2 linked regions of the Rattus norvegicus genome follow. The protein of the gene in region 1 purifies or fractionates together with the protein of each later gene. This does not show direct contact. Links are inferred from orthologs where the notes say so. Each region holds a gene or a part of one and is shown in the gene's direction. Other genes may lie near its edges. The genes, in order: Kdr and Cdh5.

What was found.
Region 2: the proteins of Kdr (region 1) and Cdh5 purify together in Homo sapiens (affinity purification with western blotting; 3 studies listed by BioGRID and IntAct, with this or other methods). This does not show direct contact. The link is inferred for Rattus norvegicus from reciprocal best matches to the Homo sapiens genes KDR and CDH5.

What each region holds. Positions count from the first base shown.
Region 1 is NC_086032.1:32,565,809-32,582,212, forward strand, and holds the start of Kdr (vascular endothelial growth factor receptor 2 precursor), read left to right. Parts: upstream 1-6,254; 5' UTR 6,255-6,507; coding exon 6,508-6,574; intron 6,575-10,180; coding exon 10,181-10,274; intron 10,275-12,109; coding exon 12,110-12,306; intron 12,307-15,558; coding exon 15,559-15,689; intron 15,690-15,913; coding exon 15,914-16,082; intron 16,083-16,404. UniProt on the Homo sapiens protein: Tyrosine-protein kinase that acts as a cell-surface receptor for VEGFA, VEGFC and VEGFD. Plays an essential role in the regulation of angiogenesis, vascular development, vascular permeability, and embryonic hematopoiesis.
Region 2 is NC_086037.1:822,634-838,497, reverse strand, and holds the end of Cdh5 (cadherin-5), read left to right. Parts: intron 1-226; coding exon 227-515; intron 516-1,322; coding exon 1,323-1,439; intron 1,440-2,860; coding exon 2,861-3,025; intron 3,026-4,098; coding exon 4,099-4,286; intron 4,287-5,661; coding exon 5,662-5,912; intron 5,913-9,446; coding exon 9,447-9,589; intron 9,590-10,538; coding exon 10,539-10,663; intron 10,664-11,004; coding exon 11,005-11,113; intron 11,114-12,723; coding exon 12,724-12,969; intron 12,970-14,512; coding exon of another isoform or gene 14,513-14,515; coding exon 14,516-15,033; 3' UTR 15,034-15,191; downstream 15,192-15,864. UniProt on the Homo sapiens protein: Cadherins are calcium-dependent cell adhesion proteins. They preferentially interact with themselves in a homophilic manner in connecting cells; cadherins may thus contribute to the sorting of heterogeneous cell types.

The sequences.
Region 1 (16,404 bases):
ATTTTTATTTATTTACTTTATATTCTGCTTGCAGACCCTCCTCTCCTCCCAGTACCCCCCACAGTGCCTTTTACCTCTCCCCTTCACCTCTGAGAAGGGGTAGGTACTCCTTGTCTTATCTGACCTCAGTGGGAGAGTATATACCTAGTACATATAATTTTAATATCTTGATGTTTTCTTTTATACGCTTACTTATTCTATTCATTCTTCAGAAAGCATTTTAAGGTTTTTCTTTTTTAAATTTTATGTGTATGAGTGTTATGCTTACATGTTCACAGTGCATTGCATACATCCCTGCTGCCCACAGAGATCAGAAGGGAGCATTAGGTCCCCTAGGACTGGAGGCATGAACCACCTTGGGGTGCAGAGAACTGAGCATGGGTCCCGTGGAGAGCAGCACACTCCCCTAACCGCTCAGCCATCTCACCAGCTACCGCTCCCATGTACTTACTTCATCTGTGTGCAGACACTCATGGCCCCGTTCACAGGTGGGAGCCAGGGACAGCTTGTCTGAGTCAGGTGGTCAGGCTTAATAGCAAGTGCTTTTATTGGTTGAGCCATCTTGCTAGCCCCACCCCATACTATCTTTATAATATCTCTATTTAATTAGTCATTCCTAATGGATTTTACTAACACTCTTCATTATTCCCTTTACCATTTTTACTCTATACTAATTGCTACCCCTTTAAATTTAACTATTTCCTTGGCTGAGTTTTAAAGGAGAGTTCCAGGAAGCTAGCTGGAGAGATGGCTTAACAGTTAAGAGCAATGGCGGTTCTTCCAGAGGACCTAGGTTCAAGTTCTGGCACCCAGGAGTGGCTCACAACCATCTGTATCTTCAGTTCCAGGGGATCTGAGAGCCTCTTCCGACCTCTGTGGGTACCAGGCACACACTTGGTTCACAGACAAATGTGCAAGCAAATGATTGATCCATACATATGAAATAAAATAATAAATCTAAAATAAAATGGAGGAGGAGGGTAAAAGGAAGGAAGGAAGGCAGAAGAAAAGGGAGGAAGAAAAAGGAAAAAGAAAGAAAGAAAGAAAGAAAGAAAGAAAGAAAGAAAGAAAGAGTGAGCTCACTGGGCCTCACATTTCATACTGAAAGATATCCAAAATGACTAAGGATATTTTTTTAGATTTATTTATTATATATGAGTACACTGTAGCTGTCTTCAGACACACCAGAAGAGGACGTTGGATCCCATTACAGATGGTTGTGAGCCACCATGTGGTTGCTAGGAATTGAACTCAGGGCCTCTGGAAGAGCAGACAGTGCTCTTAACCACTGAGCCATCTCTCCAGTTCCAGAACATTTAAAAAAAAAAGACTGTTAGAAGTCTTTTTTTAAAAAAAGATTTGTTAGGAAGACTGGTAATTTGAAGATTACATAGAAAAGGAAGATCTTTCTTTCTTGATTAGCATCTCAGAGATGCCCCTCCCCCCATTAACTTCCTTTTGGCCCACAATCTTTCTAGGAAAATGGATCATTTACTGGGGATGTAGTGATGTGGACAAGAATGTTCCCCGTAGGCTCAGATATTTGAATACTTCGTCCTCAGCTGGTGGAGCTTCTGTGCGGGGGGGTTGGAAGTACAGCCTTGCTGGAGGAAGCAAGTTAGAGGCTTTGACGTCATAAACCCTCATCTACTACCCCGTTCTCTCTCTGCATTGTGCTGTGTCTGACACTGTGAGCGCTCAGATTCCTGCGGCCGCCATGCCTGTCCACCAGGATAGATTCTTAACCCTCTGGAGAGGTAAGCTCAAATGAACTCTTTTCTGTAGGTTTCCTTGCTTGTGGTGTTTTACAGCAAAGAAAAGCTTGCAGGGAGGTAAGAGGCAGCCTGAGGCATTGACTCAATGCCCCTGGCCTTATCCTTGGATGAGATCATGAGATGGGTCACCTGTTAGAAACTATGAGCCTAAAGGTCTTGGATACTTAACATCTGTTCTTAAAAAACTATTATTCAGCAACTTAGAACTGTGAAATATTGCAAAGCTACTACACCTTCTAAACTCCTTCCTCCATTCTATGAGAATAATGCATTTTCTATTCAGTTATTTTGAGCAGTAAACAGATAAAGCAAGAAAAATACCCAGCACACAAAGAGTTCTCCTAAATAAACTTGTTTTGTTATTAATTTAAAATGCAGCCTCTTGACTTTCATTGACACGTCTAGTAAAAAAACAAAATATGCTGAATGGAGCTGGAGGGATGGCTCAGCTGTGAAGAATACGTCTTCCTGCACAGGCCCTGGAGCCAGTTCCCAGCACCTACTTGGTGGCTAATAACCATCTGTAACCCCATCGAGGAGATCTGACTCTGAAAACACCAGGCAAACATTGAATGCAAACTACTCACACACATTAAATAAATAAATCTTAAGAAAATGATTCAGGGAAAAAAAGAAAATTGCACTTGATCTAGAAAACTGATGTAACTATTTTTTTTTCCTTTTGCACAGATCTAAGAAGGGAGGGAGAAGACTCTCTTAACATCAAGAATAATTTTTTCCTTTGCCCCCAAGACTGCTAATAGTGCTTGCTACCTTCCTGTTTGTCTCAAGGGATGAAAGATGAGGTTCAGCTTTCAGAGCGTGTCTGCTCAAAGGTTGGGTACTCACATTTTTTGGCCTCCTTCTCTGGTGAAATACAGACTTTCGATTAAATTCCCTGTATCTTTTATATATTCGATTAAAGTAAAAAATATTTTATTTTACGTATTTGTGTGTATGTGAGTGCCAGTGAGCATGTGTGTGTGTTTCCATAGAAACCAAGGCAACAGATTCTCTGGAGTTGTAGGAACAGGCCGTGAGTTACCCAGTGTGGATGCCGGGAACCAAACTGGGGTCCTGTAGAAACGCAGCAAGAACCCTTACTGCGGAAGCATCTCTCGAACTCTATGTTAAAATTTCGATTTATCTTTTTTTTTAAGTTCCACATTAACTATAGGAGAGGGCCTGGTGATGAGTACACTGCCCTAGTACCAAGATTCTTCCTCTACAGGTAGCGAGGGATGAGAACCACTTCATCTGTTTCACGTGAAGGATGGGAAGTCATTCAAACATTCATCACACTGTAAAGTATTATGAGTAGACTCGAACTCTAATGGAACACGCAAAGCCAGTCTGACTTCCAGGTAACTGAGCCTTCTTTTTCTCAAACATTAAAAAAAGAAATGTTGTAAGTTAAAGCAGTAAACCGTACACAGAGTAAAATAATCTTGGGAACAGAAAGAAATTCGATAGTGAAAAGGAAATGGCCCTCGAGCGCTTGCAAAGTACGATAGTTATGAGTGTGCTCAGTTTATAAACAGCCCACCTTGCCAGGGAGGTAGTCACGTGCCCTGCTAAACAGAAACTTGGGGAAACACTTAAACGAAGCAAGCATGAGGAAGTGCCATGCAAACTTGTGATTAATGGTGACAGTGACCAAAACCACAGCAGCCACTAGAAAAGGGTAGCATGCCACATTTTAGTTGTGAGAGTGAAGTTGTTGTTGTTGTTTTTTAAAAAAAAAAAAACACGTAAGATGCAAAGATTCCTTCTTTCCCATCTACCTTTGCAGCCAGCACTTCCTGGAATTTATAAAAGCGTGATCTTTCTGGGAACTGCTCATGACACTTCCTACTGCTCATCTATGACTGTGCCAAACAGAGAATGCTACTGAACGAGTGTGTGTGTGTGTGTGTGTGTATGAGTGTGTGTGTGAGTGTGTGTGAGTGTATGTGAGTGTGTGTGAGTGTGTGTGTCTGTGTGTGTGAGTGTGTCTGTGAGTTTGTGTGTGAGTGTGTGTGTGTCTGTGTGTGTGAGTGTCTGTGAGTGTGTGTGTGAGTGTGTGTGTGTGTGTGTGTGTGTGTGTGTGTGTGTGTGTACACGAGCGCGCGCCCACTCATGCTCGGTGGAGGTCCATTTTCGATGGAGGTAGATCATCTGCCAGAGGTATAGTTGAGTATCATTTCTCAAGAGCTTCAGCTGGGAGACAGTGCCTCTCACTGGCCTGAGGGTCACCAGCTGATTGATCTCGTCTTGGACTGGTGGACCTCAGGGATCCTCATATCTCTCCTTCCCCAGCATCAGGATAACATGGCTGGCACCACATCTGGCTTTTTAAATGCGAGTTTGGAAGCTCGAACTCAGCTCTCTATGCTTGCACAGCAACTTCACAAGCTGAACCATCCCTGTCTCCTTCCCTCTGCTTCCCCTCCCCCTTTCCTTTCCTTCTTCCTTTTCAAAGCAAATCTCGTCTTTAAAAATAAACCCAACAAAATGCAGAGTATTTCTCAGTGTGTGTGGGAGGGAGTATAGGAGACAGATTTCACGGAGATCCTGTTGAATTTGGGGACCATAGCCATCAAAGATGCACCATTTCCTCTAGGAGTTCTAAATGGGGCTATTACCATGGGCCTGCAGGTTCTGGTTTGTATTAGAGGAGACACTGTCTTCTTAAGTCAAACGTGGAAGGGGAAGTTTTCAGCATTGTAAATAAGGCTTCAAGAGAAGCCTTGTTTGGCCACTGGGATGGAGAAAACTCTACCTTCTCCAAGACAGAATCCATCTTCCCTCCCTTTACCCAAATCTGACAGCCCTCCCTGGTTCTTTTTCTGAGGTTTGTTTTAGTTTGTTTTACTCTACCCAAGAGAAGTTTCCTTAAGTGGTCTACCCTGTTCACAAATAAATACCTCTTAGATAAGAGTACACCTACACAGTGGAACGCGGATAAGAAGAACCAGGCAGAACCTTCAGAATGTTGTCCATGTACACCGTAAAGGGAAAGAAGACGCCAAACAACTTTTAAATGGAGTTTTCATTCCTGAGAAGAGGAGCCCAGTATACACACCGAAACGTGCATAGACTGTGCATGTCCCCACTAAAAGGAAAATGCCCACACAAAACATTCCCATATTTTTTCAAGCTTAATTTCACCTTATAGGTGTATATGTGTAAATGTGTTGAAACATTTTTATAGTGAACCTGGATTTTGAAAAGCCTCCTGGGCTCGACAGCTGCGTCTGGCACCACACTTCAGGCTCAGGCAGGTTCGTGATGAAGGAGAATCACTGTTTATCTCCCTTCTTTAAAAAAGAAAAGCATCGTGTTTCATTAATGGCGCACATCGGTGTAGTTTCGGTTGGATGTAAAGACAATAATCTTATCCCTTTGTCCGGCTGAAAGACTGTCCTTTAAACTATCATTATAAATGCCAGGAGTAAAAGTTGTTACAAGGTATTTATTGTCATTTCCTAGGCGTGGAAGGAATGGAAAGAAAGCCACACAGTTGAAAAAAACTGTTCACGCAGGGACCGCTTTCGCTTCTGCTCCCACAGTTGACACCCCTGAAAATGCTCCCTTCTCTCCCCCCAAGCCTATCTTGGCTGAAAGGTCAGCTTTGGAAAGGAACCTGGCCAAAGTTTCTGTAGGGAACCATGGCCATGGAGCTGGGTAGACGAAAGCACTCTAGCAGCCACTGGAGGAGGATAGGCGCTCTTCTCTGTGCAGCTGCCCTGGAGCCCTGATCACCCTCAGCAACCTGGATCTCCTGCTGCAGTTATCTGGACAAAGCCAGGCAGGAGTTCACAACCGAAATGTCTTCTAGGGCTAGGCAGGTAACTTCAAAAGATCTAAAGTTGCCAGATGGACGAGAAAACAGTAGGGGCATTGGCAACCTGGATAAGAGCCTATCTTTTAATTAAAGCGTTCAAAGGGGGCGGGGGGCAGGGGCGGGGGGCGGGGGAGTTAAAACTATGGCTGCACTGGCCAGAGCACCATTAAACAAAACTTCCAAGTACTGACCAACTCACTGAAAGTTGGTGCCCCAGATACATCTAGGTCCAGGGTTCCTATCTTCATGCTCCAACCTGCAAGCGGAGGTTTGGTCCCTTGGGGCTCTCAGCTGCAGCAGGGAAGAGAGTTCTGCACTTGGAGGCACCTAATGAGGGCGCAGCCGGTCTTGCGTTTCTGGTGATGCTTCCCGGGTTGCTGGGGGGCAGCAAGTGTCTCAGAGCCCCTTATTGGCTACATTTTACTTCCACCAGAATCCGAGCTGCGTCCAGATTTGCTCTCGGATGGGACTTGCAGCCCGGCACAGTTCCGGGGTAGTGGGGGAGTGGGCGTGGGAAACCGGGAAACCCAAACCTGGTATCCAGCGAGGGGCGTGGCCGGACGCAGGGAGTCCCCACCCCTCCCGGTAATGACCCCGCCCCCATTCTCTAGTGTTTAGCCAGCGCTGGCTCTCTGCACTGAGTCCTCAGGACCCCAAGAGAGTAGGCTGTGTCTCCTTAGATCGCCCGGAACGCTACTCCGCACGACTGAAAGCCCAGATTGTGTCCTGCAGCCGGGATAACCTGGCTGACCCGTGTCCGCCGACACTGCTGCAGCTGCGGCTGGAGCCAGGGCGCCGGTGCCCTGCGCTTTCCCAGGTTTTGCACTGCAGGAGCGCGTACCGCTTCTGTGACTTCTTTGCCGGCCAGGGACCGAGAAAGCATCTGTGCCCAGCGCGAGGTGCAGGATGGAGAGCAGGGCGCTGCTAGCTGTCGCTCTGTGGTTCTGCGTGGAGACCCGAGCCGCCTCTGTGGGTAAGGAGCCCACTCTTTAGAAGTAAGGTGGAGCAGGGTGCGGGCGGAGAGTGGGGATAACAGAGAAGAGGACCTAACTCGGAGAGCTCTAGAGACCCGTCCTTTGGTGTTCTTTCACTTACCAACCGGGAAACTGAGGTTCAAAGACTCTTCCGAAATGACTCAGCCAGGATTCTAATCTCCCCCGGGCTCTGGCTGGAGCGTGTCCTGCGGAGCCCACAACCCCTGGCGCTGGGTAGGCGGGAGTGGGAAGGCGCCCTGCGCCGGGGCAGGAGATGCTCCCACTGGCAGGAACAGGCAGTCAAATGCCGGGAAGCCAGTGCAAGCCGGGCGGCCTGACTGGCATCGAGCACGCAGGCTGTTGCTTGCTGCCCTGAGTGGAGCAGGGAACCAGCCTCCCGCTCCGCTCTGCTTTAGCTCCAGCGGGTAAGCTCACTATGTGCGCTCTTCACAGAGCAACACTTTCCTACCCAACTTTCTTTGGTGCAGAATGCCACTTTGCTGGCAGGAGGAAGCGGCTTCTTCTATGGTAGCTTTTCCAGGTATCTTAAAGTAACTCTCCACTTACTACTCCAAAGTGTTTGGTCCTGGGGTAAACTCTGAGTTTCTGAAAGTTTCAGAAACTCTTTAGTTTGGCACCTAGATATAGGCCATTTTTACTGTTTAAAGATGCCCTGTGTTTCAAGGTTAGGCTCTCACTCGCTCTTGGGCTTTTGTGCAACCCCTTCCCTTCTCTTCCCTCCTTTCCTTCCCCTCTTCTCCTCCTCATCCTCTTCCTCCTCTATTTCTCTCTCATTTTCTTTTTGTAGCCACAGTTTGCAGATTTCCCAGACTCCATCCATTGGAGAATGGAGAGTCAGAAAAAAAAAAAAGTCAATTCTGCAGAAACATTCCTTATATCCGAAGAAAATCGCATGCCTTAAAAGCACTGGCGCTGACGTACAGCGCCAGGATCATCTGTCTACAGTTATTGAATCTTCCTCATAATGACTTGGTTCACCAGGCTAACTCCATCATGGGTGCCCATTTGTTCCTGACAAGGCCTCACTCTCCCGCTTTCTGGGACGAGAAAGGCAGCCTAGAACACGTGCTTGCCCTGGGTCCCATAGCGAAGTGAGTTGCTGTGAAGCCTGGAGTGTTCCTAGTGTAGCAGTTTAACAGTAGCCCGTTGGTTGGTTCCCTGAATTAAACGGAGGTTGCCCTTTTGGAGTGTGTGACTTTCTTAATTGGATTGGACCATAATTGGTGCCATCGGAGTCTAGAGACAGAGCCGCTGTTGTTTTTCCTTCTGGTCTTTGAGTGGGAAGGATAACAGTGCACAAATTAATTAATGTTGGTTATCGGATTTGAACATAAAAGGGCTTTTATTGAGTAGCAGCATATGTACCTCTTACAGTAAGAAGGAGCTTTCTAAAGAACAGAACCCAAACTTGCCATTGAAAATGAATGAGGTTTAATAAGGGGGAGAGGGATCATTAGCCATTGATGTAAATCTCCAGTTATCGATAACCTCGTTGACTAGATTTGATTGCAGACACATCCCTTGGATACTATGGTGCTGTATTTGGTGTCTCGGGAATGGGGCATCTTTTACAGATGAGCAGAGCTAATGCGCCTGCCCTCTAAGAGCATCTATGGCTGTGTGTTATGACAGAGACAGTAGCGCGGCTCTGAGTGGCTGTAGCGTGTTGATCAGCGGTAGAGCGCTCAGGCTCTGCATTCGCTTCCCCACTGAAGAATAAAGGTCACTTACTGTGGTGGTAGAGTGGGCGCAGCTTACTACCACATTTTCCTCACCCATCTGCCTGAATAATGGGTTCACCCCATGAGTGTAGCCAGTGATTGTCTTCAGGTTAATGCTGCTCAGTCATGTTTAAAATCTACTTATCAAACAAATTGTTTTTATCTCCCACTTCTCAAACAAAGTAAGATTCCATCATTCAAAGGCTTGTCTATGAACATTTTAATTGCATGCCTATGTTAGGGACAGTAACTTCTTTGATATGGACAAATATTATGCCGGTTAATTGAATATAATTGCTCAGTTCTGTAGCCGTCTCGGGGTGGGGGGGACCAAGAGCACCTGTGATACAGTCACTTTCGATGCCATTTAAAAACCCCTATTTGTTGGTCTAGGAATAAACACACCATGAGGTTCAGACTCACAGTCCACACACGAGTTATTAACAATGCCAACTAACTTCTGAGATTCATTAAATGCCATTTAATTTCCAGCGTTTGAAAAATGTTAATTAATGAATAAATCCACGGTTATATCAGCAGCATATGTACATCCGGTTAGGTTGGGTGTATTCAGGGTGGAATTGCTGTAGACCGTTATGCACATCTGTGCAGGTGTGCGAGAACCGCTACAGTCAGTGAACGGCCTGCTCTGCTTGTTCTCAGAGGGCCACAGTGTCACGGCACCGGGTGTTTGCCTTGGCTGTTTGCTCATACTGCATTAGTGGCCTCATATTTGTTCCCGCTCACTCATTTGCCCAACACTGTCAATGCCAGCTGAGGCCTGAGGAGTCATCTGTTCTTAGTCAGGGTGGCTTAGAAAGCCTGGAGCCCTGCCTGGTATTAATTAGTTATTCTTTTTCTTTTGAGACAGAGTCTCACTGTGTGGCCCAGGCTAGCCTCGAACTTGCCGTCCTCTTGTCTCATTCATCAGAATGCTGGGCTTCCAGGTGTGTGCCAGCACGGTAGGCAGCTCACGTCTTGAGTGGAGAGTGGAAGATCTTGATGCCCTTTAACGTGGTGGGCAACTTCTGTTTTTCTCATGCTTTTTAGGCAGCCGGTAGCACTTGGCAGGTTAGTTGACTGAAAACTAGTTGTCTCGCTATTTAATGGCCTGCAGTGGTGCATATCTCTCACGATGCCTTTATGCATTTCAGTCGGCCAGGTAACAAGTGTCATATGCCTCCAGCTTTGTATTGATATGACCACAGAGCTTTGGTTAATGAGTTGGGACCCCAGCTATGGCTCATTCAGTTTTGCTCCGAGTTTATTAATATGCATGTAAGCGAGAACTTGGGAGATGTTTCTCTTCTTCCATTTAAATGAGCTGTCTTTGGGAGCCACTACCTTTGCCTTTATAGCTCAGTTCCCAAAGGAAGTCTGGTGCACAGCATGATAAAAGACAATGGGACAGGGTCACAGTGGCTCCTGTCCCTTTTGGGGGTATGGAGATGAGCTGTAGAGAGATCTCTCCGGGGTTTTCATTAATCAGCATTTTAGTCAGATCTGCACATCCTATGCTTTACAAGAAATGTCAGTGGGTCCTTTCCCAAGGGCCTGAGATCATCAGATGGGGGTTCACTGGGTTTCAGGATCCCATATCCTTTTGTAAGACCTTGAAGTTGGCAACACAGGAAAACAGGAACTCCACCCTGGTGCCGTGGATTGCAGAACTGTTGTGTTGGTCTGTGACCATCTGCCCATTCTTCCTGTTATGACAGAGCCTGTGAACTTTTACTGGGAATGGGCAAAGTCAATCCCACTTTTATACAATGAATTGCTGAAGAGGCCTTTTAAAACCTGGAGTGTGCATTGTTTGTGGGAGGGTTTCCTATTGGATCCAACTCTTATCTAATTTGTTTCTAGGTTTGCCTGGCGATTCCCTCCATCCACCCAAGCTCAGCACACAAAAAGACATACTTACAATTTTGGCAAATACAACCCTTCAGATTACTTGCAGGTAAGGATTCCTTTTTGATCCAGATTTCCTGTGTGAAAGGACTCAATGTTTACTGCGGTCACAACAATTTCCATTATTGCAGGAGTAGAATAGTATTGTTACAATTGTTTATAAGTCATGAGACTTCTAAGAACTCATTTAATAACGAAACAATGAGAAAAGTCTCTTCAGACTTTTGTACTGTTTTGCTACTTTCAACATGTACAACCATTTTACACAGATACAACATGCCCTGGCACACACATGCATGCACGTGCAGACAGGTCAGAAACTGACACGCAATAGGCATTCACAACTATTGATAAGTTAGTAAAGCAAAAGAGATATCCTTATGAATAGAGTTAAAATTCTAGCCATGTTCAAGTCACCCAGAATGGCTTCTGGACCCTTTTTAAAGCTGTTTTTTACAAATGAAATTTTGTCTTTATTAGCAATTAAATCTCGAGCCAGTAATATTCCTGACCATTTGTCCTGTTCAGACCAGGACCTTCATAATCTGGCTTGATGTCCCAGGGCCTCTTTCCCACTTGCCATCGAGAAGTCCCTTTGATTCTTACTTTTCCACCAAGAGGCAAGAAAGGAAACCTAGGGGAGGTGTAGCTGGGTGTGTGACTGTTTATGAAGGCCCTGTGTGCAGAATAGCGTGTTTTGTTGGGGATGGTGATGGGTCCAGGCAATGGTGCCATCTGAGAAGAGTGCTTGGTGGCAAGAGGAGCCCTGGCAGCTTGTCGCAGTTGCCTCATATTTGAAAAATACCAAGCAGTCCACAGAACAACTCAGGTCTAGTGTAGATCATTGCATGTGGAGAGAACCTGGCCCCTCGTCTAAGGTCTACAAAAGTCACCAATGCCTAGTCATGGGGCAGGGGGCAGGGGACAAAAACAGAAAGCCATAGCAGGAATCGTTTATCTTTATTAAGTCGTGGCATTTCCAGAGACTTTCATCTACCTGTTCTCAGACACAAAGGTGACTTAAGGCCTGCAAAGGCTTCACCCCGCCTCTGGAGACTGCAGAGACATTCCTCAAGCACTGAACAAAGGACTGTGATATCGTGCAAGTTCTAAGCTCTATGGCTCAGTTGGTCGTGTTGCTTCACTCATTGACTACCTAACTTTTGCTTTGTGGAGAATGGAAACTATAAAAGTAATGTCTATTTGATGTGGCCCTCACAAGGCCCTGTGAGCCTCTTCTCTCTGTGTGCTAACTTCTTACTCCCCCTTGCTTATACCCACATGAGGACTCTGGCTTCCTTGCCGTTCTCCCAATGCTCCAGATGTGCCCCGGTCCCTGTCTGTCTTTCATATTTACTGTTGGAATGCATAGGGCCAGCTTGGTCGCATTCTGCCCTTGTCTTTGCCTCTTTTATATTTTCCTTCACAGTGTGAAATCACCGCCATTTACGCAGCAATCTGTACCTTTTAATTGTATTATCTCCCTCGTCTAGAGTTAAGTTCCAGAAGGGCACTGAATTTTTTCTTTTTCGTGTACACTGGCCAACTACTCTGCCGCTGGGCTTGATATCCTGGATCCCTTAAAAAGGATCCATTTTTTTGTCCTTAATAATGCTTAGCAATCATATATTGCCTAAAATATTCATTGAAAGAATGAATGAGTGAACTAATAGAAAACACACGACCACGTGGGTGATTTCTGTAACAGAGTGTGTGTTCTTTGGTGGCATGTCCTTGCAGAACGTCTGTCATCAGTGTCTATCAACTCGAAGGTGTCTGTTGAGTAGTTTACATGTGTGTGAAAAACCAAATCTTCTGTTCTCTTAATCATAGCCTCGTGGCAAGGGAGTGTTGCATTAATATCTTCCTGGAATACTTTTTCAGGGGACAGAGGGACCTGGATTGGCTTTGGCCCAACACTCCGCGTGACTCTGAGGAAAGGGTGTTGGTGACTGAGTGTGGCGACAGTATCTTCTGCAAGACACTCACAGTTCCCAGAGTGGTTGGAAATGATACTGGAGCCTACAAGTGCTTCTATCGGGACACCGATGTCTCCTCCATCGTTTATGTCTATGTTCAAGGTAAGTGGTGGGCTAGAATGTGCTTCCCACCTCTGCTTCTGATGTCATAAATGTAATTGAGTCAAGAAGAGTTGAGTCCAACAAGAGGCTTGATAGGAAAGCTGTTTTCCCAAAAGGAATAGAAAAGCCTCTCTCCCAGGCTTCCTTGGAGAAGGACTCACCAGCAGTCTGGGTTGGAGCTGCACTTCTCTTCTCTGCCTAGGTCAGCCCTAGTTCCTTTGCTACGGAGCTCTGTGATTCCCTCCTGTGACCCGCCAAGAGCTATAGAGACTCATAAAATGTCTTCTGCTCTTTGAGACTCTGGGATCTTTGAAGATGAGGTTTTCAAAGATTGGAGGTGAATTATAGAGAGGTTTATGTGGTAAGATAGGTTATCTGTAGCAGGGAGGAGGTTTTTGTAGGAATGCATAGGGAAATAGCCAAGGACTCTAGAGTCTGTCTTTTTTTTTCTCCCTCCCCCATAAGATCTTTCCTTTCCAAATTACCACTTTATTTTTAAAAAATTCACATACCCATGTGCAAAGCACAACACTGCACTCAAAAGAACCCCTCTGGACTGCATGTCTTGTCTTTGCTTGTGTGAGCTGAGAGGGCTTGGGATCAACTCCATGGAGATGAAACTTGCAGACATGAACAGTCTTTGTGGACAGAGAAGTATTTTATTTTGAGGTGATAATTTGCTATTTGAGCTTCCTTTGTATACTTCCCCTTTAAAGGCTAAAGATGTAGAATTGGCTCACAGGACACCCTTAGTTTCAAGTCGAAGGAATTTAACTTTTGTCTTACATCAAGAGGTTAGTTTTGTGATATAATCGAGATTTTGTAACTTAGCATCCTATAGTAAAATTAAAATGCAACATGTATTCTGGATTTACGGGACTCATCATCCCCTTTATGTTCTAAAAATTGCACACCACCTTTTCTTGGGAAACACCTCTCTTCACTGCCGAGATGCTTGTAATAGCATGTGCTTCTCAGGAATATATAGGCTGCATTATACATAGAGATTTCTTTGTTATTCTTTTTTTGTGCGTGAGAGTTTGCATGTATAGATGGGTAATGTATGCATGCATGCTATCCATGAAGGTCAGAGGTGGGCACTGCATCCCCTGGACCTGGAGTTACAGATGACCATGAGTCACCATGTGGATGCTGGGCACTGAACCCAGGTCCTCTGCAGGAGAAACCAGTGCTCCTGTCTGCTGGGCCATCTCTCCAGCCCTGAGTTACATTATATTTGACACTGGCATACCATGTTATATTTCTTTCAGAGAAGGATGGATCTATATATGTATTTATTCATCTGTATGTAGCCTTACATCTCAGGGGATCCGAGGCAGGTGAAAATGACTTTGAGTTTTTTCCCCGAAAGCCACTCTTACCAGACAGGAAGGTGCTTCACCAGGGCACCATACTTGCATATCTACACTTCCATTTCAGTAGGGTCAGTGTATAGGAGAACAGAGGCCATATTCAAATATCCCATGATGCTCTTGAGCTTCCCCGTGATTAGGTATTCTTTTTGCTCGGGGTAAGCAGAGTATGAGAGAGAGTTCTGTGCCTCCCCTCCTTACCCTGCAGAGCTGAGAGAGACAAGGCTCAGACCTTGGAGAATGCCTGGCTCCTTTTGATCCGGCAGTCTTGGGAGACGTGGCTCTCTCAGAAGATTGCAAGGATTTCCTGCTCCCAGCCTGTCTGGAAATGCTTCAAGATGAGCTTCTCCTACAATATCTTGTTACTTCCTTCTCCCCGAGTCAGGAAACCTGGAGACATGAGAAAAGTCATTTCGTGGGTTACAATAAATGTTTTATTTTTGGGAGGATGCGTGGTTGTTTGGTATTCTTTTGTTTACTTCCCCTTCAGTGCTACTGAAATAGCTTACAGCATAGCTTTAGTCTTAAGTCAAGTGGTTAATTTAGCTTCCCAAGGCTTGCTTTGAATGAAGCAAGTCAGGTCATATCCATTAACATGTCCGTGGAGGGTGGGCAGGGCAGCAAGCACATGTCACTAGCACGTTTGCTGGTATACTTGGTGACGTTGGATAAATGATAAAATTCTGCTCCTGCCTCAGCTTAGCTTTCTGAGTTTGTGTCATGAAATTTAACAACAGGAAAGAAAGCATTGAATGTAGTATTCCCCATGGATAGGTCTCTAATGTCCCCTCTAACTTCCTCAGTCCTCTGACCCATCTAGCAGTGGAGGGAGCCAGGAAGCTGGCCTTGGCCATGCAAGATAATGATGATGGCATGTGGGGAACGAAGCTAGCTGGATTTCTATGCTTTCCAGCTGGGGAGGAAATCAGGTTTTTGCTGTTGAAAGGAATTAGTTACTCTTCTTCCCTTTGGTTTCATTAACTCTTTCTTCACCTCTGCAAAGGCTTGACCAGATGTGTGGGGGGTAGGAGGTGAGATGTTATCTCTGCCATTTCAAGTCGTGGCTCCAGACCATGTGTTCTGTCTCTAGGGGATGAAGTAAATCCCCAGCCACGTATTAGTACTGTGTGAATGGCGTCTGAAAGATAACAAAATCTCTCTGGCTTTCATCTCAATTGTTGGAATTGCATTTTTCCTAATACTCATTGTTGTGGATATTCATATGGGCTAAATCTTGAACTAAATGTAGTGGCTATGAAACATGACTTTATAAAGACTCTTATCTACAGACCCCACAGACTTACGATAATATAAACATCATTCTTTTGAATGGTTGAATCATCTGATTGTTATTTTCTCTTGGTTTAAAAATCCTAATTTCTTGTTAGTCATTTACATTATTTCCCTAATGAAAAACATGAACTTTTAGCATCATAAAACTCAGAGTTTAAGTATATGGATTTAAATGAAGTTTTTTTATTTTATATAAAAAAAGTCTTGTAAAGCATGGGCTATTAAAATAGATTCTACTTGTTAATACTCCATGTGGAAGAAGTTAAACATTAATTTACCTTGTTGGAGTTTTCATTTACTCTTTTCTGTCTCTGTCTGTGTCTCTCTTTCTCTTTGTCTTTCTGTCCCTCCATCTCTGACTCTCTGTCTCTCTGTCTCTGTCTCTCACCCCCTCTTCTCTGTGTTTCTCTGCCCTTCCTTGGCCACATCTTTAGAGCTGGATATCTATGTGCAGACTAGCCTGTGGCTGTCTTCGTCCATGCAAGTTGTCAACGACAGTCATTCCATTATTCAGTTAGAGTTCACGGACCCAAGGCTACTAATTCTCTTGCTAATAATTCACTGGGAGAATTCCCTTTTCTTCTAGATCACAGGTCACCATTCATCGCCTCTGTCAGTGACGAGCATGGCATCGTGTACATCACTGAGAACAAGAACAAAACTGTGGTGATCCCATGCCGAGGGTCGATTTCAAACCTCAACGTGTCACTTTGTGCTGTGAGTTGCCTCTTTTTCAGTCACCGCATGTGTCCATTGCTGTAACCCTTTTTTGGAGACGAGCTTCCCACTTTCAAAACCATTCCAACAGTGAGTTACAAAGTCCCTTAGGGAGGGCAAACAGCACATTCTTACATTCTTAGAAGTAAGATGGGTCCTTCATTGGTCATCAAATTTGGACAGTGCTGGGTTAAATATTTGTTGTCTCTCTTTTTGCTAATCAGAGGTATCCAGAAAAGAGATTTGTTCCGGATGGAAACAGAATTTCCTGGGACAGCGAGAAAGGCTTTACTATCCCCAGTTACATGATCAGCTATGCCGGCATGGTCTTCTGTGAGGCAAAGATTAATGATGAAACGTATCAGTCTATCATGTACATAGTTCTGGTTGTAGGTAAGTGAATATTTCCTTTCCACCGTACACTAAAGAGTAGCTTTCTACATGAGTATCCTGGAGAGCAAGGTGCAAGGGATACGGGGAAAGGTATTAGCTCAGAGGATGGTTAACTCTTTCCAAATACTCTTCTTTACCAGACAAACTATTGCAACTGGGGTTTCTCCTTTCTTGCCAAGACCAAGAATGAAAAAAGGAGTTCATTTTATAAAAACTGCAATAGTCAGAGTACTGCTTGGCACCAGTTCTTTTAATTGTATCTAGATTTTATTATTCATTGGGTTATTACAACATCTTTGAAATGCTGAAGACAGTGATTTGT
Region 2 (15,864 bases), on another chromosome or scaffold:
TCACTACCGTGCTTGCAGTGACCTGGTGAAGACAAGCTCACTGGTGACCAGTTGAAAGTTCTTGTTTAAAGCGTCAGTGTCAGGGTGAGCATCCCTACTCAGCACTACACACACATATGGTCAGCATACATGCATGCATCGTCACATGTGTGCACACACACAAGCATGCACACTCGTGTATGCACCCACTGCCCATTCCCAGCTCATGTTGCCTGTTCTTCCCCAGATCAAGTCCAATGTGAACCGTCAGAATGCTAAGTATGTGCTCCAAGGAGAACAAGCTGGCAAGATCTTCAGGGTCGATGCTGACACAGGGGATGTGCTTGCCTATGAGAGGTTAGACCGGGAAAAAGTCTCTGAGTACTTCCTTACTGCCCTCATTGTGGACAAGAAGACCAACAAAAACCTGGAACAACCTTCCAGCTTCACTGTCAAGGTGCATGATGTAAATGACAACTGGCCTGTGTTTACGCACCAGGTATTCAACGCATCTGTGCCCGAGATGTCAGCTATAGGTATGTGCCTAGTCTTTCCTCTCTCTCCTCCCCTCCTCAACACCAGCCTGAAGACACCTCTCACATCAACCACCTCAATGCTTAAGGCTGGGCTCCAGTAAGCTCAAGGAAGTAATTGTGATGCTGTCTTGCACCTTTACATGATTTTGAAATGTGTCCTTAAAGGCTAACCTCTGATCTAGTCCCAAACTAAAACCTGACCCTAACCATAGATGGGTTTTAATCCTCATAATGTGCTGAGCACTGACTCTCTTTATAGCCTGGGCCCTGATCCTGACCCCAGAGCGTGTAATCACCCTAGATATGGGCTTGGGAGGTACTAACCTATCCTCAACCTGCTTCCAGAAGGTCCAGACAGAGAGTGTGTTTCTCTAGTCTTCTGTCCAGGATCTGCGCTCAAGACCATGGGACCAGACCTCCTTGAGGAAGTCTAGAACTCCAAAGGATGAGAAATAGGATCTCCATCCCTCTCGGGGCTTTGCAATACCCTTCCCAGTCCCACATTCTCATACTTTCAGAAAAGGAAAATCCACCCAGACATCACCTAAGTTACTCTCTCAAACCCAAACACCTTCATTTCTCCTGCAAACATACAAATCACCTGTTCTCTTTGCCTGTTTTCTGACTGATCTGGCTGGGCTCACCCTTGCTGGCACTTTGTCCTCGTGATGGCCCCTCTGGCACAAAGCAACCCTCATTCCCTCAGCTTGGGCAAGTAGGAACAGCAGAACCCCATTTACTATCACCAGGAAACAGGGTGAGGACCACAGTCATGAGCAGAAACACCAGAACTCTCTCTCTCCACAGGGACCTCTGTCATCCGTGTGACAGCAACGGATGCAGATGACCCTACGGTGGCTGGCCACGCCACTGTCTTGTACCAAATGGTGAAAGGAAATGAGTACTTCGCCATCGACAATTCTGGTCTGTATGACTAAACCTTTTGGGAGGGTGCCTATTTAGAGGGATGGGAGAGGGGCATGAATATTGCAGGGGCCAATGTAGAGAGAACTCTAATCTGATGGGTGTTACCAGTCACTGATCCAGAGAAGGAGTGCATAATAAATATAAAGACATATTGGAGTGGGTTAGGGGAGAAGAAAGCAGACAACTGCCCAAAACATGTACTCAAGTCCAGAAAGAAAATCAGGGCCTTTTCACCCAAGCATAGACCAGGACTCAAAAGAACATAGTGGTTGGAAGGTCTTTGTACATGTTCAGAGACATCTGATTTGAGCCTAGAACTGCTGCTCAGCCCTACAGCCCCTTGGAAAAGTTATCTAACACCTAAGAACCTTGCTTCCTTTGTCCAGAAAACAGGAATGCTCATGGTCCCTTGTGCAGTAGCTGTGAAGTTGGAATTAGATTTTGCATAGGCACAGCCATGCCACATAATTTTTTTGTGCCTCGTTAAGAGAAAACTTTAGACCAATTAAATTTTATCGAGTTTAATTTTTGCAAAGAACAGTTCACAAATTGGGACACCCCAGAAGCCAAACAAGTTCAGAGAAACCCCAGGGCTGCCACATAGTTGGGTGATATTTATAGTGCAGGGAAGAAAAAAAAAAACCTGCAGTCTAGAAACAGCTCGGTCGTTTCCAGCTGGGGTGTCTGCTTTATTTGAATAGCTTTGAACAGGTGGCAGCCTATGATTAACTGAAGCCCAGCTGCTGTGATTGGCTGAGCATACTCCTAAGTTAGGGCTTTAGTTTATTTACATGCTACTAGGTTGCAGTTCATCACAGGATTCAAGTCTGCAAGTACAGAAGGCTTCTCAGGCCAAATTTGGTGTTTAACAAATTTAAAAAACTGTAAGAACCGAACCGCGGAAGCAAGAAAGAAGGCCAGTTAGTCTAGCCAGACACACTTGTCTTCCAGAAGATGAGCAAATACACAGAGCAACTGGTACTTCTAAGGGCACCAAGAGATATGTCACTAATCTATCACAGCACTCGTAGCACTAAAAAGGGCAGCCACTTCTGCATATGTCAATACAGACATCATTAATCGAGTACAGCACTCTCAGTTCTAAGACACAGCATAGCCAATCATATTTATGTGTACCAGGGCAGACATCACTAATCTATCTCACTCTGAGTCTGGAATTGGCAGTATGGTCTTTCTCAACATTACATTCTCTTTGGCTAGGAACAATACTGAACCATACATTTGGCCAACTTTTAGCCATACAGGGCAAGGTATGGAGGCAGTGGACTATAGTTCTAGGGATCTCAATCTCAGATATATAGTGGAGTCACCGGTGTATTTCTGAAAGGATCTTGGCATTCAGATTTTCTCAAGGCTCCTCAGGTAACACAATATCTGTTGGGTCACTTTCTTTTCAGGACTCATTTTCACAAAGGACAAAAACTTGGACAGAGAGACACGGGCTGAATACAAGATCGTGGTGGAAGCACAAGATGCCCAGGGTCTGCGGGGAGAGTCAGGCACAGCCACTGTGCTGATCAGATTGGAAGACATCAATGACAACTTCCCCATCTTTACTCAGTGTAAGCCCCTCTCATAGGCCCTTAAGTAGACAGGGGCTGAGACGATCCAGATTCAGTGATTTGGGAGCTCTCAGACAGTGCCCCAAATCTCTCTACTTCTTGCCATATCCCAGGGCACTTCTGAAGCCAGAATATAGAGACCCTGGTGCATCCTAATGCCTTGCTCTCCAAGTCACCCAACTGTCCACTGCTGAGTCCTTCATAGACCAGATTTAAAAAAAAATCACAGCCTTGCTGATAGCACTGCAATGCTTCAAGTCCCATTGTGAGACAAAAGCAATTTCGCCCAGATCCTCTGAGACTGAGGGCCCAGCTATAAAATCCCAGAGAATAGGGTACAACCAAAGCCTGCTGTAAACATGCCTACAAATTGATTTTCCCTTTAGAAACTGTGTGTCAAGAGCTTTTCCTGTGCTCCGAGTGAGAGAGGCAGGAAAAGTAAGTTGGTATGTTCATGGAACCCACTAGCTATGTGGAAATTCAGGCCTCAGCTGACCCCCAAATTATCTAGTTCTAAAGTAGCTCTATTACTTCCTGAAGGCAAGATTTGTCTCTCTTGTCTATTGATGTTCCAATGTACAGAATGAGCTAACTCCCTGCTAGCTTGACAGATGGGCAAAAGGCAAGGCAGGCCTCCTTATCTTCGGACCCAGAATCACACAATCCTAAGTTTCTTGCCTGTTTTCTGTAGCAAAATATGGTTTGATACCCAGATAGGTGGCAGCAGATGCCTGTGACCCTAGCATTGAAGAGACAGAGACAGGAGATTTGCAAGTTCAAACCCACCTTGGGCTACAGAGCAAGCCTCAATCTCAAAATTCCAAAGGCTAGGGGTATAGTTCAGTGATAGAGTGCTTGCCTAGCCTGGGTAAGACCCTTGGTAAAATTTCTATTGTTTGTGTGTGCATACGTGCATGCATGTGTATGATAATATGAAGGGACAATGTGTGCATGTGGTGTGTGTGTGTGTGTGTGTGTGTGTGTGTGTGTGTGTGTGTGTGTGATAATATGAAGAGACAATTGTCTTATCTATCTCATTAACTCTTTGCGGTATCCTATGCTCATCTCATCAGCCACATACACATTTTCGGTGCCTGAAGATATCCGTGTGGGCAAGCCCTTGGGCTCTCTCTCTGTTGAGGACCCAGATGAGCCTCAGAACCGGATGACCAAATATAGCATCATGCAGGGCGAGTACAGGGACACCTTCACCATTGAGACAGACCCCGACCGTAATGAGGGTATCATCAAACCCACAAAGGTACGTTGACCTGCAGAACTGAATCCATTCATGGGCTGTGGACTTTGCAGTATCCAAAGGACATGCTCAGGGATCACTTCTGAGCCACAGGCCATTGAAGGAGTATGCTCTTTTCAGCTCAGAGTTGGCCAGGAGTTCCTGGAGACTATAGCCCACAGTCTCAGCCTGAGTTATTCCAGAGATACAGCAGAGGCAATACTTTGGGTGTGAAATGTTTATCTGGGTAGTATTCCCTAGAAGCCTCAGGCGCAAGGATAGGTGGCAATCACTGATAAACAGGTACAAGTGGAGCCCAGAGTATGTCTCAGAGTTGCAGCAGGAAGATCGGGCTCTGGGCTAAGCAGCCACAAACCCTGCAGTGCTGACAGACAACACTTGTTCTAGTCTCACTTCTCATGTTGTGATAAAATAACCTTGACCAAAAGTAACTTTGGAGAAGAAAGATTGTTTTTGATTTACAATTCCAAGTTGAGTCCATTGTTAAGGAAAAGTCACAGTGGCAGAAACTTGAGACAACTGGTCACATCACATCCACAGCCAAAATCAGAAGGAAATGAATGCACTCAGCTAGTTTTCTCCTCTCATACAGTTCAGAACCAGGCCTAGGGAATGGTGCTGCCCACAATGGACTGGGTCCATTAACAATCAAGATAATCCCCCACAGACAAACCCATACGTAACCTGATCTAGACAGTTCCTCAGTTGAGGTTCCCTTCTCAGGTGATTTCAGATTATACAGCAAGTTGACATTTAAAAACTCACCAGCACTGTGCCCCCAACATTAACTCCCTGTGTCCCAATAGTAGAAATCTATCAGCATATGTAAAGAATGTATGACTAAGGGCACAAGTAGCCATGAACAGTGGCTTCTGTGACAGCAAGCGGTCTGACTTACTGAATCTAGAAGAGTAGGGAGAGGAAGGAGCCTTATGCTTCCAGAATTTTAAAGTAGAGGACTGAGAATGCACAGAAAGCCACCAGAGTCCACAAAGCTCTCAGACAATAGGGAAGATAGGCATACAAACAACAACAAAAAATGTAACTGGTGTATTCAAGGCTGCACAATAATGCCAGACAAGAAGGTGTTGCCCCTTGCTGAGAAGGTCTCTTACTAACTAACTGCTCAACAGCAAATTACTACTCATTCCTCAGGATGAACAGGAAGAAATTTGCTAGGCAGACAAACACAGGAGAAGTCTCTTGAGCAAAACCAGGAAAGTTACTCCCTTTGAACAGAACCACTAGGGTATTGCCCCCTTGAGAGAAGGACTGGGATTGGGCATGTCCTTGATTCATAGAACAGGCTCAGGTACAGAGGTGGTACCAGGCAAACGAAATGGGCTAAAACCAGTCACTATACTTCCTGCCCATGCAGCCCCTGGACTATGAACTCATCCAGCAGTACACGTTCCACATCGAGGCCACAGACCCCACTATCAGACTCGGATACCTGAGCAGCACTGCGGGCAAAAACAAAGCCAAGATCATCATCAATGTCCTAGATGTGGATGAGCCCCCTGTCTTCCAGCGACGCTTCTACCACTTCCACCTGCCCGAAAACAAGAAGAAACCACTGATTGGCACTGTGGTGGCCAAAGACCCCGACAAGGCTCAACGCAGCATAGGGTAAAGAAGTGTGGGCATGAAGTGATGATGCCATGGTGATCCTAGCATGGTCATTCTTATGCCTAATGGTCTCAGACTAGGGCTCAGAGAAGGACATGGTCTTGCCAAAACTCCATGGAAAGATGCTGAGGCTAAACCTTGGCTCTTTCTACTAACACTCTTCTCCCACCAGCTCCTGTCTTGTCTCTCTTGTCTGGTCCAGGCCATCCTCTGTTCTTTAAAGGACTTTGGACCTTGACTTACATAGTTCCTGTCTAATGAGGCCATCAAAAGGAATGGCTTACCTGAAGCCCCATCACCAAAACTAGTTTAGAGAGATTTCTCCCAAGACACAAAGCCAGAGTGTTGCTTTCACTTGGTGAAACTATACACTTCTATAAAGAGATCTATGGTAGTTCCTGCTCCCACCAGATTCTCAGGTGGGCTGAGTATCCTTTCCTTCCCTTCATGGCCACACAAATGTACCAATGCACGGATGCTGCGTTTGTTGTTACTGTTTGTGTTTTCGCTGCTGTTTTCCTTGGATCATGTTCCGCACAGTCCATCAATACTTGTTCCTAGTTCGTTTCCCATTACTACAACTTCATAGCATGGGTTGGATAATTTATGAGCCACAGAGCTCTATTTATCTTAAGGGTCTAAAGGCTTGGAAATCCAAGGGCATGGTGCCAGCACCTGATTGCCATCTAATGAGGTTTTACTTGCTGTAACATGGTGAGACCTAATAGCTTGCCAGTGTAGGTCTTTCTTCACCTTCTTATAAAGCCACTAATCCACCGTGGGGACCCCTCATGACCCAATCCTAATCCTAATGGTAATTACCTCCCAAGAGCTTAATCTCCAAATACCACAAATACATGCATCTGTGGATAGAGTTTCTAATACGTGGACTTTGGAGGGTGTGGAATGAGACATTCAGCCCCATGTCCTTGTTCCTCTGACTTAACTAAATTTCCCTCCTCTACCCTCTGGGACAAAGGGAATACATAGATCTGCTCAGACTTCCTAATATTTGGTAGTAAGAATGAATTCAATCCAATCCAATTTTATCCCACACATGAAGCCAGCTGTGCCAGGCCTGTTGACGTCATTATTTCATCACTGGCGTTATATATTTAAGTTCTTACCCATCCTTGACCCTACCTCTGAATTCCCCACTCTGCCTGCTCCTCTGTGACACTCTGCTTCAATGCAACAGCTTTCTGCTGACTCGAACCCTTCTCTCTCTGCATTTTTATCTAATCCGAAACGACCATTCTCACACTCGAGTATATTTTTTTCTCCTTTTTTTTAAAGATAGGGTCTATGTAGCCTCGACTGGCCTTGAACTGCTGTAATCCTATCACTTCCTCTTTAGTACCAAAATTACAGCATACATTCATTCCACCATACTTGGCTTCATAAAAGTAGTTTTCATATAGTTTTAAAATATATTTATATCCTAATGAGGTATTTTTTATTTTATTCCTCTTTTCTGTCTTTATTCTGTGTGTAAGAGGTGGTATGTGCCACAGTACAAATGTAGAGGTCAGAAGTAACCCATGGGAGTCAGTTTTCTCCTTGGACCATGTGAGACCATGGAATAGAACTCGGGTTATCAGGCTTGGCCACAGATACCTTTGCCCACTGAGCCGTTTTGACAACCCAAGAATTAATTTTATATATTGATTTTGGAAAATCTTTATTTACAATACAAACACTGGTCAAGAGCCTCCCAAGCACCCTACCTTTCAGACCACACCCCCAGGCTTCTGCTACCTTCTCCCCCCACCCCCATTTTCAGACAGGGTCTCAGTAAGTGGACCAATCCAGCCATGAACTCACACGATGGCCCAGACAGATCTTGAGGTTCTGCCTCAGCTTCCTGGAATTTCAGGCCTGCATCACCAGGCCTGGCAGTATTAGGTCTTCTTGTTGAGAACAAAGCAAGCCTTTCCAGTTTGGGTCCACCTCACGCATGTGGGGACCCAATCTCACTGTCATCTATTCCAAGTGATTTATAATTATAACTTTGGCTGTTTCTTTGGTTGGGGACTTTATTGACTTGGGTTTGCTTGGTTTGGTTTTCTTGTACTAGTGCTGTGGGGATTGAGGGTGGTCTAATATGTTCTGTGACATAATACAGTTGTATTTCACCCATTTTCTTTTTACCGAAATATCAATACTTCTGTATTTTAATTTTTCTGTCCAGTTAACTAAGATCTACCACTATTTTACCTTCATTTATGTCCTATAACTTCTTTGTCCAGTGCAAGGGCTAAAAGCCAGGGTCTGTGCACACAGAGCCAGTGCTCCACAGCTGAGTGCAGGACCTGCAATTCTGCACCTCTGTGAAACCATCTAGTTTGTTCTCATGCTTTTGGTCCCCAGTGCCACGCCATGTGACGTTAAGCTTGTTGTTTCTGTTTGATAAATTCTCCGACTTTTACTTCTGACTTTTCTAGATTGCATGGCTTTAAGCTGTCTCTTGAAAACAGCACTCAGTTGGGCTGGCTTTTTAATCTCAACAGAGTTTGTGTTCGGCCTGCTTGCTGTTTTCATCCTCAGTACTGGGCTTGATCTCACTTGTCTTGTTTTATATGTCCTATTTCTCAGATGGGACAAGTTTCCTCTTGTGCCTCATCTTTCTATAACCCTCCTTTTTTTTCTCATAGACATTTGACCGCAGATTTACTTCTGTCTACAAAATCTTAAATGTTTTCTAATGAAAAGCATCACTCATACATGCTTCAACAACTTCATTTCAGTTCCTCCCAAACCAGGTTTCTACTTTTGATTAGGACAACTTTTAAAGCTTCAAAACAATTTCTTCTGTGCATAATCAGAACCTATCTTTGTGAATGATGTACTTGTACAATCTCCAGGTCATAGACTTTTCTTCAAAAGTTCCACCAGTGTGTTCTAGCATTCACCTTTGTTGGAACATCTGGAGTGGGTCTAATTTCCCTTTCCTCTTAGGGAATCTACTTTTCGTTCGTGAGAGTCTGAACCCTTCAGTTTTCTCACATCACTGGGACATTCAAAGGACTAACAGAATATGCCTAATTATTGCTATTTTTTATAGTTATGTCAAAATATTGCTTAATCTGTAGACATAGGCCTTCTTCCTATCAAAAAAGCATATTATATTTTGTGTTACTTTTTTTGCCATGGCTTTTCAGTAGTAGCAACAACCTTCTCTCTCTCTCTCTCTCTCTCTCTCTCTCTCTCTCTCTCTCTCTCTGTCTCTCTCTCTCTGTCTCACACACACACACACACATTCCAACTGCAGTGTAAGTGATTTTAAAGTTACTTAGTTTGAAATGCAGCTGGGTGGAGTCTTGGGTACCCCATCCAATCATAAGATAACACATCCTTCAGGTCAAGCATCCTCCTGCTTTGGGAACATGTACAGGCTACTCACTCGGGGTGGTAAGTGTAGGGAACACTAGAAAGGGGTATGGGGAAGGATACAGGGGTCAAATTCTCTGTCATGGTGAGGACTTTGGAAACAGCAAGGGACAAGGAAAGCCATGAACCCATTTCTCCTGACAGATACTCCATCCGCAAGACCAGTGACAGAGGCCAATACTTCCGAATAACCAAACAAGGGAACATCTATAATGAGAAAGAACTGGACAGAGAAACCCACGCCTGGTATAACCTGACTGTGGAGGCCAACGAATTGGATTCTAGGGGTGAGTGGCCCCACTTTCCAAGCTACCTGGGCCCTTTCTTTTCCTTCATTCTTTCAAAACCGACATGACTCTTCATTCTGGACCTCTAAATGTATTCTAAGGGCCCCAGGGAAACATTCTCTGATTGGGGTAGTTTGACCTTCCATTTCTAAATGTGCTCCTTGGACCACCATCATATAGAGCACCCAAAACCTTGTCGGAAGGACAGAATAATAAGAGTACCACCTTAGACTGAATGCATCATAGTTTAAGAAGCTCTGTGATAAAACACACTGTTCAAGTGTCTCTGTGATGAGACTCAGCAAAGGCACATGCTACACACAGACTTTCTGAGGGTTTGGTCCAGAGAACACAGAGAGCCTCGAAGGCTGTGCATGGAACAAATGCTGCACGATTCTTAGTGTCAAACACATTTGGCAAACACTCCTTTGTGCACAAAAAAAGTTATGTGTGCACCAGTGAAAGAGCCAAGAAGCAGCTCTCAAAGGTAGAGATTATAACGTTCTGCAACAATTGGTATGAATTCTGACAGAAGTAAGGGGAGTTGTAACAATCACCCAGCAAACTAGTGTTCGCTTTCCCACAGCAACCAGGTCCCATGGGGGTTCCTGAGAGGGGACAACATTACTTTTAAAAGTGCATGATTATGTGTCCGATTGCATTGTTTTAATCAATTGTATCTGTTTGCTTGATTTACTTACTAACTCTTTTACAACCTCTTCAGATGTGCTGAGGATGGTTAGCTCTTGAATTCTTATCAGCAAGTTTGCTTACATATGAAGGTCTACCCCCCACATTGTCCTCCTCCCATTCTAATGTCATCTTTGGCCTTTCCTCCTTAAAAAAAAAATGGCCTCCACCACACTTTGCCCCAGGACTGTCCATCAAAACATCTTCAAAGGCCAGCATCAGCTGGGCCCAGTATAATGACAAGCTGTCTCCCCTGCAGGTAACCCTGTAGGTAAAGAATCCATTGTACAGATTTACATTGAAGTTTTGGATGAGAATGACAACGCCCCAGAATTTGCCCAGCCCTACGAACCTAAAGTATGTGAGAATGCTGCCCAGGGCAAGGTGAGTTGGCCTCGAGTGGAGGAGATGGGGGACCAAGAAGTAGTGTGTTTTCAGGTAGATGACTTGGGAGAAAACCTTCCTGCCCACCTAGAGTTACCTAAGTATAAAGTAACTACATAACAACCCTGAATAAAGTGCTATTCCCATTTTTCAGGCGGAGAAATGGAGGCTCTAGGAGTGTCTGAAGAATAGGTCAGGGATATGTGAGTGCAGGATGGTAGTAAGACAAAGTGTCTTGGGGGAGACCATAGTGCCGCAGGTGACAGGCAGCCACAGCCTTGTCTAAACCCATCCTTGAACCCGGAAACCACACTGATCCTTCCCCATCTCTCACATTCCAGCTGGTAGTACAGATCTCTGCAACAGACAAGGACGTGGTGCCAGTAAACACAAAGTTCAAGTTTGCCCTGAAGAACGAGGACAGCAACTTCACCCTCATCAACAACCACGGTAAGCCGCAGAGCAGGCGGTCGGCTCTTAGAAGGTCAGAGGTGTCGGTTAAAAGTCTTGAAGCACTAAGATCAAGTACTAGTCCAACATGGGGTGACAGGTCTCCAGAGGGTCTTTTAAGTTATGGAGTGTTCTGTACAACTTTCACCACGTAGATTGCACAGTTGGCCTACGTTGTAGTTGAAGCCTCCTGGCCAGGCTTCATGGTCCATAGGACATGATCCAGAGGGTCACCATTACCCTAAAGAGGCTTCATTGAAGAGGAACACAGAATGGATACAGGGATGCAGGCAGCCAGCTCAGCCAAACTATCTAAAGGCTCCTTCTAATACTGGGATCATTCCAAAGATCTCAAACTTGGAAATAGGAAGTCATAAACCCCAGAAATGTGATGAGCTTTGTTTGCAGTTCAGCTAGAACGGGTATCAACCATAAAGTGTTCCCTGAACAGGATCCGGTCCACCAATCACATCATATTACAGCATATCTATTCAGCCAGTCAGAAACCAGAGAGTCTTGTGAGGTCAGTAGTGGCCAGTCAGAGGCCTGGTGAAGATCTACTTCGTAGAGTGATGACCCTAAGCTGATTTCCATCTGAAAGTGGCCAGGCTTCCACAGCCTCTAAGAAAAATGTACACCCTCAGGTATGACTATAGCAACTGTTCATCCGAACATGGGAGGAAATCTCCCTGTCCCTTACTGATGACACAATGAGGGTCCCATACTGAAACAGCCCATTGTCATCTTTGGGGAAAACTAGGGAAGAGGGTCCCTGAGAGTGAGGGGCATATATAGGCAATCAGCCACAGATGCATCAAGCAAGATGAGCATCATGGCCCACAGAATGAGGAAGGCAGCCATGCTGTGCTGACAGTTAATGACTCAACTCAATACTCAGAAAATGTCATTGCAAAAATACCCATCATCCCATTCCCTTTGTGTACCTTGAACGAACTAAGAACTGGGATCCATTAGGGAAAATTTAGGAGCTACCCCCAAACTCATATCCCATGTGCAACAGGAAGCAGGTCTGTTGGTCTCAGAGTCGTTTGCATACAAATGTTCTATATATTGGAGTCTCTCATTTCTCCCAATTTGCTTTTGGCTGTGTGGCTAAGTAAGTCCTCTGACCATTAGTGTTACAACCTCCCAGGAACCTACAAAAAAAAAAAAAAAAAAAGTAGACCATCTCTCCTTTGCCCATAGCCACTGAGTACTGAATAGCAGTGACAGCAGTGTGTGTGGGGGTGTATCTGTGTGTGTGTGTGTGTGTGTGTGTGTGTGTGTGTGTGTGTGTGTAAAACAATACAGCAATGAGCTGAGCAAAAGCCCCTGTTGGGATGGGTTTGGAAAAAGTGATGTGTACCCACTGACCACAGAAACAGAAAATTGGGGTCTTACACGCTGACTTGGCCACCCTTAGGCTGGGTCAAAGCAGTCACCCAAGTACATCCTCTGCAAAGGGACAAGCCTGTGCTTAAAGGGTTCAAACATGAGGCCGGGAAACAAAGAGGGCAATGAAATCACGCAGAAAGAGGCAGCTTCCCCCCATGGGACAAGAGGGCAGGTGCTCCTGGCAGAGCCTCACTCTGTGGTCTTGATGCTTGCAGACAATACCGCCAACATCACAGTCAAGTATGGACAGTTTAATCGGGAGCATACCAAGTTCCACTACCTGCCTGTGCTCATCTCCGACAATGGGATGCCCAGCCTGACTGGAACCGGCACGCTAACAGTGGCTGTGTGCAAATGCAACGAACAGGGCGAGTTCACCTTCTGTGAGGAGATGGCCGCACAGGCGGGTGTCAGCATCCAGGCACTGGTAGCCATCTTTCTGTGCATCCTCACCATCACAGGTCAGTGTCTCATAGACAGGGAGGAGACATTAAGAGGGCTTCAGAGAAGAGGCAGGGTTCTGGCCCTATCCTGCACTACTCTGGAGTTCACAGTTCTTGTATGTATAGGATACAGAGATATAAATAGGTAACCCCACTAACCTGGTGCTATATGGAATAAGGGAAAGGAGGATGAGCCATAAAATCATTCTTCAAGCTAACTCCATTTCAAATTAACCTGGTGTATTGCAGTGACAGGGTCACTAGCATGTGTCAAGCACCAGGTTCAATATCACCTTCAATTTCAAAACAAAAAAGAAAATGAATCTACACTTGGCATTCCTTCATTTGCTAAATATATTTTGAGTGCATACTATATTCTGGGTGTTGTTTGGGGCACCGATGTACATTAAAATGATTATTTACTGTATTACTCATCTATTTTGAGACAAGATCTCACTGTACAGCCCCTGACTGGCCTGGAACTCACTCTGTAGAGCATGTGGACCTCCAATTCACTTGCTTTTGCCCTCAGAGTGCTGGGATTAAAGGTGTGTGCCACCATTTCTAGCTTTAATTGTTTCTGAAATTCCTTTATAATGGAAAGTTTTGAGACTTCTAGCCTGGAATGTCGCTGGAGGGTTTTTTTTTTTTTTTGCTTTTTTAGAATTCCTCCAGAGTCCATTTTTGCTTTGGTTTGCATTTTTTTGTTTTGTTTTGTTTTGCTTTTGCTTTTGCTTTTGTTTCATTTTGAGCCTTGTCACTTTGGGGCACTTTAGGCTTCACCTAGGTCTGACATTGCCTAAGAAACAGATCTCAGACAAGGCTTTGTGAAGAGCAAGCTGCCAGGAAAGGCATTTTACACTAGCACCCAGCAGAGTCTGACTTCTCCCATTGAGAGCGGATGTTCCTTCTTGAAAGTACTTTCTCTATGCTGTACCAGCCCTGAGGCGCACACAGAGAAGCGAGGATGTCATGAGGTACAGGCAGCCTTTGCTCCAGGCCTCTGAACTTCCCACTGTGTGTGTTCATTTCCTGGACCTCTGTGCCAGAGACATTAGAGACTGACTTCTCTTTCATGGATGATGGTGGTGGTGGTGGTGGTGGTGGTGGTGGTGGTGGTGGTGGTGGTGGTGATGATGATAATGATGATGGTGATGATGATGATGATGGTGGTGATGATGATGATGAAAGTATTGATGCCACCCACATCACAGAATCGCAAAATACCAGTGTCACGGGGGCATTCAATGTATCCACACTGCAGACAGGAAAACTGGGGCTCGGGGAGGCCAGGGTCACTCTTTGTATTTAACAAATTAGTAACTAACTCAAGGCTAGAAAACTTGATGGCTTGGGTCTCATTGAGGGAGCTCTCCACAGCTCAAGGATCAGGGGACCTTCCCACACCCATTCCCACCCAGTCTTCAGTAGGTATATGCCACTGACTTATATTTTGGGCCAAACCAAATCTGTTTGCCCAGTCATAGTAGTGGCCCTGGGAGTCTAGGCTGATCCAATGAACCTGTCTGACCCACATCTCTTCTTCGGACTTCTTGGCTAGCAGTGATCACCTTGCTGATCTTCCTGCGGAGGCGGCTCCGGAAGCAGGCGCATGCTCATAGCAAGAGTGCGCTTGAGATTCATGAGCAGTTGGTCACCTACGACGAGGAGGGCGGTGGCGAGATGGACACCACAAGCTACGACGTGTCTGTGCTTAATTCTGTGCGCACCGGCTCCAACAAGCCTCTGCGGTCCACGATGGATGCCCGGCCAGCAGTATACACACAGGTGCAGAAGCCTCCACGACTGGCGCCTAGCCTGCACGGAGGGCCCAGAGAGATGGCCACCATGATCGAGGTGAAGAAAGAAGAGGCAGACAATGATGGCGGTGGTCCCCCCTACGATACACTGCACATCTACGGCTACGAGGGCACAGAGTCCATCGCAGAGTCCCTCAGCTCCCTGAGCACCAATTCCTCCGACTCTGACATCGACTATGACTTCCTCAATGACTGGGGACCCAGGTTCAAGATGCTGGCAGAGCTGTATGGCTCAGATCCTCAGGAAGAGCTCATCATCTAGGGTTTGTGGTCTTTGGGCCTGGGGACCCAATCTCATTGCAACCTGGATCAGACACCCGACATTGCCTTCCCTGATTTCCAAGGTGTGACACAGACTCTCCAACCCAGTGGCCCTTGCCTGTGGGTACCAAAGACACTTCCATCCCCAAGGTAGCAAATTTCAGGCCCCTTAAATATCCAGGAACAGAAACATATCTTATTGATGGCCACTCCAAAAAACTGGAAAAGCGAGACTAGTATTCTCTCTGGGATCCCATCCTGCCCCCCCCCCACCACACACACACACACACACACACACACACACACACACACACACACACACACTCCCAATCTATTCCAGACCTCCTGTCCCTTCAAAACTGCCAAGCAAAACTGACTATGCTAAACTTCTAGTCTTCCGCAAGGGTCTCCGAGCCCCTGGTAAGGCTATCTGTCTGTCTGATGGCAGAAGACTGGATGGCATGAGCTATTGAACAGGACTTCAAGCCCAGTCCAGAGGGAGGCTGTAACTGATCCATTATGCCTGCTCTCAGGAGGCCCAGCACTGCTGAGTCTCCCTCACATCTACCCAATGCCCAGCTACTCCCCAGCCCCTCCCCAGGCCTGTCCAGGGAGGAAGGAGACAGTCAGCTGCTCCTGACCTTGGGTCCTGAGATGATCCGGCAGGCCCAGCCCTATTTACTGCTTTACTGAGCAATGACCCATTCTGTCCACTTCAGGGAAATGGCTTGTCGAATTTTGAAGCAACTGTGAATTCACCCAGGAAGGACAGTGGAGACCATAGGTGACAGGGTCATAGAGCAAGGATAGCCTCCAACCCACTCACCAGAAA